2 linked regions of the Coturnix japonica genome follow. The protein of the gene in region 1 binds, or shares a complex with, the protein of each later gene. Links are inferred from orthologs where the notes say so. Each region holds a gene or a part of one and is shown on either strand. Other genes may lie near its edges. The genes, in order: RGS9 and RGS9BP.

Region 1 (4,577 bases):
ATCACCTGCCCTTTGCCAGCACAGCCCCTGCCTGTGCGCTCAGGCTGCCTCATCCATTGGACAATACACACAGCATTAAAGAAGCCAAGAGGCTGACGGCTCAGCTCTGGTAATGTTCTGTACCCCATTTACATGGAGAGCAGGAGCCTACAGAGAAGCCAACTTCAACCATAACACAATTCCAGCACTAAGACATCTTTAAAAACAGACAGACAAGAAGCAACTGATGAATAGACTCAGATGGGAGAATTCAAGCCAAGATGGAGCTGGGCTGGGAAGCCCCAACAATGCTGTGGATCTGGTCTGTCTCTGGACATCAAGGAACTGAATAAGGAAGAGGCAGTGAAAAAGGCAAGCAGCATCCATCAGCCCAGCCCACGAGGTATGAGTCATGATGCAGCTCATGTAGCACAGCAGAGGAAAACACAGAGCCCACCGTGATAGAACACAGGCAAGAAAGTCTTTCTACCAACGCAGTTTAGGAAAAAACATAACAGTCAATCTAACTTCCTGAAGAAAGCCCTTCTCCTCCCTGGATCAATCAGAAGCTGCCTGCTGGAGAACCAGCACATGAAGACAAGTTACAGCTGCGTGGACACAGCAGGACCAGCAGCATCATGGAATTGCAGGAAACCACGCTGCTGGCACAGACCCACGGCTACAGCAGACATGTCAGCCCACGGCAAAGCCTAAGCACAGGCTTAAGCAATTAACAAAGCTTCTCCCTACGATTTTAGCTCCTTGAGGCTCTAAGCCTGCAAAGTGCTCACTGGATGCGTGCCGAGCATCTTCAGCTCCCCCATGGGACAACACTGAAGGACTCAGTATTTCAGGGGATGTGACCATCACCATGTACATGCTGTGTAACAGCTGAGGCTCTGTCCATGGCTTCCCCAAGGGCTGAAAAAGCAGAGGAGGAAGGAAAGCAGAGACAAGAGCCAAGGCCTGCTCACAGACCATCCGTGAGTGCCCTTTTACAGTGCCAACAGGTCTTGTACTCCCAAAGCACTGTAGCTATTCAGACCCTCTGCTTCTTGCAGGGTGAACTGTACATGCTCCATAAGCAGTGCTGTATTTTAAAAGACCTTCCCACCCGAGGAGCTCAGAGCACTTTGCAAAGACCGCTAACACCCACTGAACAGCAGAAGCACAGCTGTGGGAGGCTGTTTTCACAAAGCACGCAGCCTCTCCTCTCCACCTCTGCATGAAACCCCACAGAAGTATTACTCAGTGCAGAATGGCCCCATGTATTTCCACCGCAGGGCTCCCCTGCCAAGTGTATCTTGAAAAACACAGTATCAAGAAACGTATCATTCCTGCTTCCTTCCTTGTGAAAAGCACATCCAGACTCACACCTGAGCACTGAACAGCCTCTGATTTCCACACTTGTACCCCCGGACTCTTTGTGTCTCTATAGATCGTAGGCGTTGCAGGAGAGCTGACTCGAATAGCAACTGGCTGGTTGTGCTTGTCACTGGAAATTCAGCTAATTCCGCTCAGCAAGATAAGCCACAGGCAGGAGAGGTGGGTGGGTGGAAGAAAAGCTTAACATTCTGCTTTTTAAAATCTCTGCAGCTCTTGGTTGCACTAAAACCCAGTTCCGCTTCTGAATGAATGCTACAGGGAAAAGGGGAAAAAAGAACCCAACACTGAATACTTTACAACATTACGCATCACATCCAAAAGCGTAGGCACGGATCTTCCCACTCTTTCAACTGTTTGTGGTCACAAATACGCTCGTCTCTAAAAATGTGGAAAAAGGCAGGAAGCGAGAGCTGGTCATGACACATGCTCATAAAGCAGACAGCAGCTGGGTGGGTGGAAACGTACCGGGAGCAGAACGGGGCAGCCCGGTGTTGGAGATGAGTTTTCCCCTAGGAAATGGATGAGCTTTAAGGATTTGGGGGGGAAAGATTGGAGAGGGAAGGAAACCGTCCGTATAATTCAGCTAATAATAATAATAACAACATAAATAACTTTCAAATTACAGCTTTCTCCCCGTGATCTCAGCCCCGGTGCCAGGGGCTCCACGTGGCCACAAGGCACAGCCGGACAGAGCATTCCCGGGGGTAACAGATCCCAGCAGGATGCTCGGACGGCTGATACGGACAAGGGGACACCTAAGCTGAGCACCGCATCGCACGGCACCATCAACCCGGGTGCGATCTTGTACCCCAGGTGCTGACGCCCAGCTCGCACCCGGAGCTGCTCAACCCTCACCTTTTTCAGGAAGGCCATCCGCGGGCGGTAACGCTGCCCCTGGTCCAGCCGTGCGACGGTCATGGTGCTGCTGATGGAGCGGAAAGAGAGGCGGGCGAACGAGCAGATCGGCAGCTCCAACAGCTCACCTGGTTACAGCCCCCCACCACCAGCTCTCCCGTCTTCGCCGAGGGTGGCGCCTCCGCTGTGCGCCGCAGCCGATTAACATCCGCCGTTCCACGCACGGCGCCCACCTCGGGGCGCTACTGAGACGCTGGGAGCCGTATGGAGCACAGAGTGATGGTGGGGGATGATGGTGGTTGGGAGGAGGAGGCAGCAGCTGGCACAGCCCCCCACAACGCTGCTCGCTCATGGGGAGAAGAGAGGAGTCTTCCAGCGTGCAGCTGGTCCGTTGTGATGGAGCAATACAGAGGCAAGCAGGCTTCGGGCAGCTGCACCTGCAGCATCACCCGCCTGTCAAACAGCTGGATGGTTTTGGGAACTCAGCGTTTGTCATGGGGGAAATTATGATTAATGGTGACCAGAGGAACAGGGAAGGGTTGCAGGGTGCTTCCTCATGACAGAGCTGGCTCATGGCTGTGGGTTTGGGGAACCTGAGTGGTAGTGCTGGAAACCAAGAGCTTTGTGTCTCTGATCTCTTCGGAGAATGGTGGGATTTCCTCCTGCTGCCAAGGGTTGGCCAGACAACACAGGCAGGAGGAGAGTCCACCCAGCATGGCCAGTGCTCTCGTACACCCCCCAGACACATATGAATATCATGCAGGTGCATTTATACCCTGCACATTCACACGCAACACATCTGTTTCAAAGTCATGCATTTGCTGCTTCTTGGGGCACTGCCTTCCCCAGCACAGTGACTGCTACTGCTCTGACATTATAATCCATGGCTCACGGGCTGGAGGAAAACACTTTGGCTCTGAATACAGAGCACGGTTCTTTTCCATTCATACAATACCCTGAGGGTGTGGGCTGCTTTCCCAGTTGCTCTGCTGCCCTCATGGAAGGGTTTTATCTTTATCTCTGTTCTTTCAGACTAGCTGAACAAGCCAGTGCTTTGGAAAGGCCTTTCTTCTGTGTCTGCTTTCAGTCATTCCCATGTGAAATCCCCCTGTGAGTCACAGCAGCCACTGGATCGCAGGCACTTCTTACTTTCCAAAGGCTTTTCCACCGCTCTGTGCTGCTAGCTATAGCATAATGCCAATGAGTAACCTGTCATCCCACTGATAGCAAAGTTATCACACCTCATGCTTCAAGGCATCAGCTGACTGTCAGAAGAAGAAGTTCTTCATGCATTTGCAGTGTCTTGTAACTCCAGTGTTGTGTTGCTGTTTGGTTTCTCAAAACAAGCTCAGATCCTGGTGGCCTCCTGATACTGCCAAGGTGACAAACTGCAGCAGCACACAGTGTTCTGTAGGCAAACAGCAGGAGAGAGGGAATTAAAAGTGGGGTAAGGTGAGGTAAGGAAAATAACAGTGAAAACATGCAGGCATTTTGAAGGCGTTAAGTAAGAGAAGAGTTCCACCTTAGATTCCTCCTCAGCTCAGGTTTGGGTTGTTTTCAGTTTCCAGTCTTCTCCGACAAGCTAAAATAAAACCAAACATAAGCTCAACAGTGATTCTATTTAGGAATGACGCAAACCACCAAAGAGAGATCAGAGATGAACCGTGTTTCACCTGCTGCCCAGGTGAATTACCCCAGCAGTTAATGTGTTATGGCAGCTCGGCCACGTGAAGCACAAGGCACTTAAATCAGATTATACAGGTTCACAAAGGGCAGACAGTCCTGGGCTTCCAATGACAAAATCCTCATCCGTGAAGAGCAAACAGACTTTTTCCATCCCTGATACAATCTGGCAGATTTATAGGTGAATTTGTCAGCCAAAAAAGCAAAGGGGCTTGTGCAACAGGGCAGAGCAGCAGAGTGCCAGCACAAGCCATGCACACTCCTTGTCTTCCTGCTTATTTCCAGCTGCCCCTGCTAAATATTGATGTCCCCATGAAGTCCCCTTCAGTAATGTTCGCTCTCACCAGACACGTTCACAGTGAAGGTGACAATTCTTGTTGCTTTCTAATGCGGAAAGCACTGCAGGTGGAATCCCCCTCTTTTTTAAAGATGACATTTCCTAAGTGGTTGCCCCTTCTTCACACATCACAAGTTGAATCATGCGACACAAAAGGCGTGTGGTAACTACATTTCTAACTGAGGAAACCGGGGACAGCGGTGAGGGGAAGGAAGGGGTAGGTAAATGAATCAATGAATCAACGTAAATGAATGGCACTGAGTGTCAGGCACAAGCTGAATTTCAGTACGCAGTTCCTTCCAGGAAGATTTCAAAGCAGTTTATCAGAAAATAGTGT
Region 2 (4,236 bases), on another chromosome or scaffold:
ATTTAAATCAAAACACAGCTATTACACCTCATATATGTCTAGACAGACTGAAGCAGTAGCACCAATTAAAACAGGCTTGACTGTTTAAGAGTGCTGCTCAGGATCTATCCTAAGTTCAATATGTACAAAACACATCCTATGGAATGACTGAAACACAGTAGAAAGGAAGAGTCTTATACATCAGTTCCTATGTGAATCGTGTCTAGACTGGATCAATGTGCATTACTCACAGCTCAAGCCTTCACTTGGCATTCTTTTTCCTCACTAGATTCAAACTTGTACATGCTTTTTCTACCCAAATCCAGTTTTATTACACATTTAAAAGTCACCTGCTGCTGTTCTTAAAAGTTTTGTCCTCAACTCAAAAACTTATCACCTGTTCATATATGTTGGTAACATTCACTAACAAAGATAGATTGTTTTCTAGTAACTTCACCAGCCATATCTGATGATTACCTTTTGATATGTGTCCATAATAACTGGGGTGGCAGACTAATTATGTATTAAAACCCCCATGTAAATGGGTCTCTATAATTGCCCTGCAGAATGTCTCATACGCACTATAATGTATGTACTAAGCATTCCTGAATGAATGGTGTGTATTTACATGAACAGAAAGAATCTCCATAAATTACATAATAAAGAACATTAACACATGGGTCCTTTTACGAGACATAACAGAGCTTCTCTGCAAAGTCAGTGTCCCCTCAGTTCTACATTTCAACAGGCAAGTTTTAGGTAAACACTGGGAGTTTTCTGCTGCTCTTGCTTTTATCGTCCCAAACTGCAGGGTATCCAATTGGACCAGTTATGTGTCCAGTACTACAGACTTCCTCTTTCCCAAATGATTTCTCAGAAATGAATGAGACATGAAACAGATTTTTACTTTTATTTTTTTAGCTTTATCTGCATTTCTGCAAAGACCTCAGGAGTTTGCAGAAACGTGACTGACTGTCAAGAAGCCCAAATCTCTGCCCGTCGACATGAGAGACCATCTCTTTTGGGATGACTAGAAAGGTCTGCTTTCACCCTACATCGCTGCTGTTTGCCAAACTATTTCCAAAAATTATGTCATCTGCTGTTGGTGGATTCGCTGCTTCTCATCTCATGGTCAGCTCTGAAGTTCAGACAGATTGCATCGATAGAAAGAACCTGACCAGAGGCAAGGATCAGCCTTTCTCCAGGGGGAGACAAAATCACGGTAAATGTGGAAGTAAACCACAGGGCTTGCTAGTATTTTTCTGACTACGCAGCTCTACCTTTGCTCTCTCAGGGTGTGGAAAGCCATCCATTTGTGCAGTGCCAACCTCGGTATCTGGGTTCTGTGCAGCCCAGTCTAAAGCTACAAACTGTACTTGCTGAATACTGCTAGTTTGCTCTGCCCTCCTCCACACCTCCCTGATCATTAACGTTTATTAAAATAGATATTTACATGCTCTTACTGGTGTGTCCATCCTTTTTCCTCCACTTAAATAATATCTTGTGTATTGCTGGAAAAAAAAAAATCCCAATCCATTCTGTTTACTGTCACACAAAAACACCTGTGTTGGCCTCCAAATTTGTGTCAGTCAGAAATACTGTAAACAGTGAGCAGCAGCAAACTGCAGAGCCTAGTCAAGAACAAAAAATACAGGCTTCTCAGAGTGACAATCTATTAATAGCAGACAAATCGCTGTTATAGCCAGTAGTGATAATACCTTCAGTACCTCACAGTTAACCCTTACAAGTCCAGCTAACAAACACATCCTAGTTTGCAGGCTGATCTGCATCTTTTTCTTCAAAAAGCATGAAAGGAACTGTGCATTTCAGGATATTGAGAGGCAGATGTTTTTAGTTACATTTCCAAGTGCTAGGATTAGATACTCAGCGCACCCAGGTGACAAGAGACGTGTGGCACGAAGCACTTTTGGGCGGCCCTGTGAGAGCTCTCCAGTGCCAGCACAGTCTATGAGAGTTTTACCACACACACTGCCAGCACAATAGCAATAATGAGAACAGCGGAGAAAACAATCCCAGCCAGAACTTTGCTGATATCGCAGAAGGATTTATTTTCCTCCACAGAGATCATGCCAATGGAAGAAGCGCCCACGCTGATGGTGGATTTGAGTTCAGCCCCAGGGTCTTGCTTAGCCTCTACCGTCCACTGGGGGACATTGACCTTCATTTCCATCTCGTACATCATTTCTCCTACCTGGTTGATTTCGTTCTCTAGGTCCTTCAGATCCACCACGTCAATGTTGTGCTCGGCCTCGTACTTCATGTTCTGGACACTCATGGCCCGGGCAGCCACACCAGACGTACCCCCGCTCATGCCCGTCTGGATCAGGTGTTTTTTGGGGACGTTCAGCGGGAACTCGTGCCCCAGCTCCAGGGCTCTCCTCATGTCGATCTCCAGGATCTCTAGGCACGTGGAGAAAATCACCCATAGTCTCTCAAACTCGGCTTTGTCCTCCTTACTCACGGTTTTATCCCTCAGCACCGCGGTCAGCTTGTTCCTGTTGGCCACCGCCAGCTCCTGTGCTTTCTGCCGGGTCTTCTTCAACTCCTCGCGCAGGTTCTGCGAGTCCGAGGTGCCGCCGATGGTCAGCACCATGTGCCGGTAGCAGGCGGTCACCCTGCTGAGCGCGTCCAGCAGCGCCTTGCACTCCTCCTTCACCATGGTCCCGCCGTCCGGGCGCCTCCTCCGCGGTTACCTGGCCCCGGGATCGCGGAGCTGCCCAGCGCAGCCGCTCCCAGCGCTCATGGCGCGAGGCGGCCCCGTGTCGCGCCGCCCCGCGGTCCCTCAGGCGGCTCCGGCCGCTCCGGGCAGCATCGCTTCCCCCGCTACCGCCGGCGGGAGCCACGACCCGGGCGCGTCATCCCGCAGAGCGCCGGGCGTCCGCCGATGGGGCGCCGTACTTTGACAAGTGCCAAACACGGGACAAAGGCGAGCCCGAGAACTAAAGCTGAGGCTCTGCAGATCGGCAGCTCTCGCCGCCCGCTGTCAGCACCGACCCGATCCGGCGCAGCTGGGCGCCGCGCGGTCACATGGCGCCGAGCAGGGAGCGCCCGCGGCCTCCGGGCGCGGCCCGGGCCGGCCCTATAAGCCCTCGCAGGCTCCGCCCCTGGAGGCTCCGACCCCCGGCGGCCGCCCGCTTCCTCGTTCGCTTCCCGCCGCTGCCCGGCCATTGGCTTCGTGCGGCGCCGCACCGGCCCGCCCTGGATCCCGGTATGGCTCGGCTGCGGCGCGGGGCGGTTGGGGGGGCGGTGTCGGTGGGGCGAGCTGCTCTCACTCCTCTCTCACTCCTCCTCTTCCTCCCCCAGCCCGACGGTCGTTTTCCGCGGGGCCGCTCCCGGCGGTGCCCTCCCGGAGCGGCCGTGTCGCGGCCTGTGAGCCGTGCTGCGAGAGGGGAGGTGCCGGCCTTGGCCGCGGCCTGCTCCCGGGCTGGGGCTGCCTCGGAGCCGGTGTGGCCTGGGCCGGCTGTGCTCGGGGCGCTGTGCTGTGCTGCGCTCCCCGCCGCGTTGGCAGCTGCGGCTCCGGCGGTGTCCGGCCCTTGGCGCGGCGGCTCCCGGTGCCCGCGGTCCCGCTGCCACCTGCGGGTAGACCCGCTGCCACCTGCGCGGCGTGGGGAGCGCTGAATGCAGCGCTGAACTTTGTGTCACCCCGGTACGTGCATTATTTATACCAGAGGAGTGCACTCGGGTTCCTACCGGGCTGTGTGCTGCATGCTTTCTGTATATCGGTGTCACGAATACTTCAGCTTGTTTGTCGGGGGTGAGAATTTGTGTATTTTTCCTCCTTTTTTATGGATTGTTTATGAAGGCCCCTAGGAAGTGTGAATATGGGGCCTAGAATATCTAAGGGTAATTGAAATCAAGTAATCAGACATCAGAAGGTTTAGCAAACACAAGCTTCTTACTATCGAAAATGGTATGTTAGTGGCTGCCCTTGTGTGTGTTCTGAAATACGATGTGGTCAGTGAGGAGCTGTAGGCATGTTTGTACACACACCTGTGTCTTCCAGGATAGATAACACTGATGCTGAGCACTATGTAGCGGTCTGGGCTCTGTCTCTTAACACATGTTTCACCATAGCAGACTTCTGGAGAACTTGCTTGTCATGACGTGCACAGCTACTTATGCCTTAATGCTCCTGGACAACTGTATGGTTTGATGTTGCTACAGTAACTTATGAGAAGTGAAAACATCCTCCAAGAGGTTGATCGTGACCCTGTCCCTTATCGTGGCAGCACAGTG

Evidence for each region.
Region 2: RGS9 (region 1) and RGS9BP share a complex: the UniProt entries of both Homo sapiens proteins name them as parts of the RGS9-1-Gbeta5 complex. The link is inferred for Coturnix japonica from reciprocal best matches to the Homo sapiens genes RGS9 and RGS9BP.

What each region holds. Positions count from the first base shown.
Region 1 is NC_029533.1:6,496,132-6,500,708, reverse strand, and holds the start of RGS9 (regulator of G-protein signaling 9), read right to left. Parts: upstream 2,960-4,577; 5' UTR 2,284-2,959; coding exon 2,221-2,283; intron 1-2,220. UniProt on the Homo sapiens protein: Inhibits signal transduction by increasing the GTPase activity of G protein alpha subunits thereby driving them into their inactive GDP-bound form. Binds to GNAT1. Involved in phototransduction; key element in the recovery phase of visual transduction.
Region 2 is NC_029526.1:8,554,408-8,558,643, reverse strand, and holds the start of RGS9BP (regulator of G-protein signaling 9-binding protein), read right to left. Parts: upstream 2,994-4,236; 5' UTR 2,660-2,993; coding exon 1,946-2,659; 3' UTR 1-1,945. Other genes in the region: ANKRD27 (ankyrin repeat domain-containing protein 27), read left to right, coding at 3,028-3,208. UniProt on the Homo sapiens protein: Regulator of G protein-coupled receptor (GPCR) signaling in phototransduction. Participates in the recovery phase of visual transduction via its interaction with RGS9-1 isoform.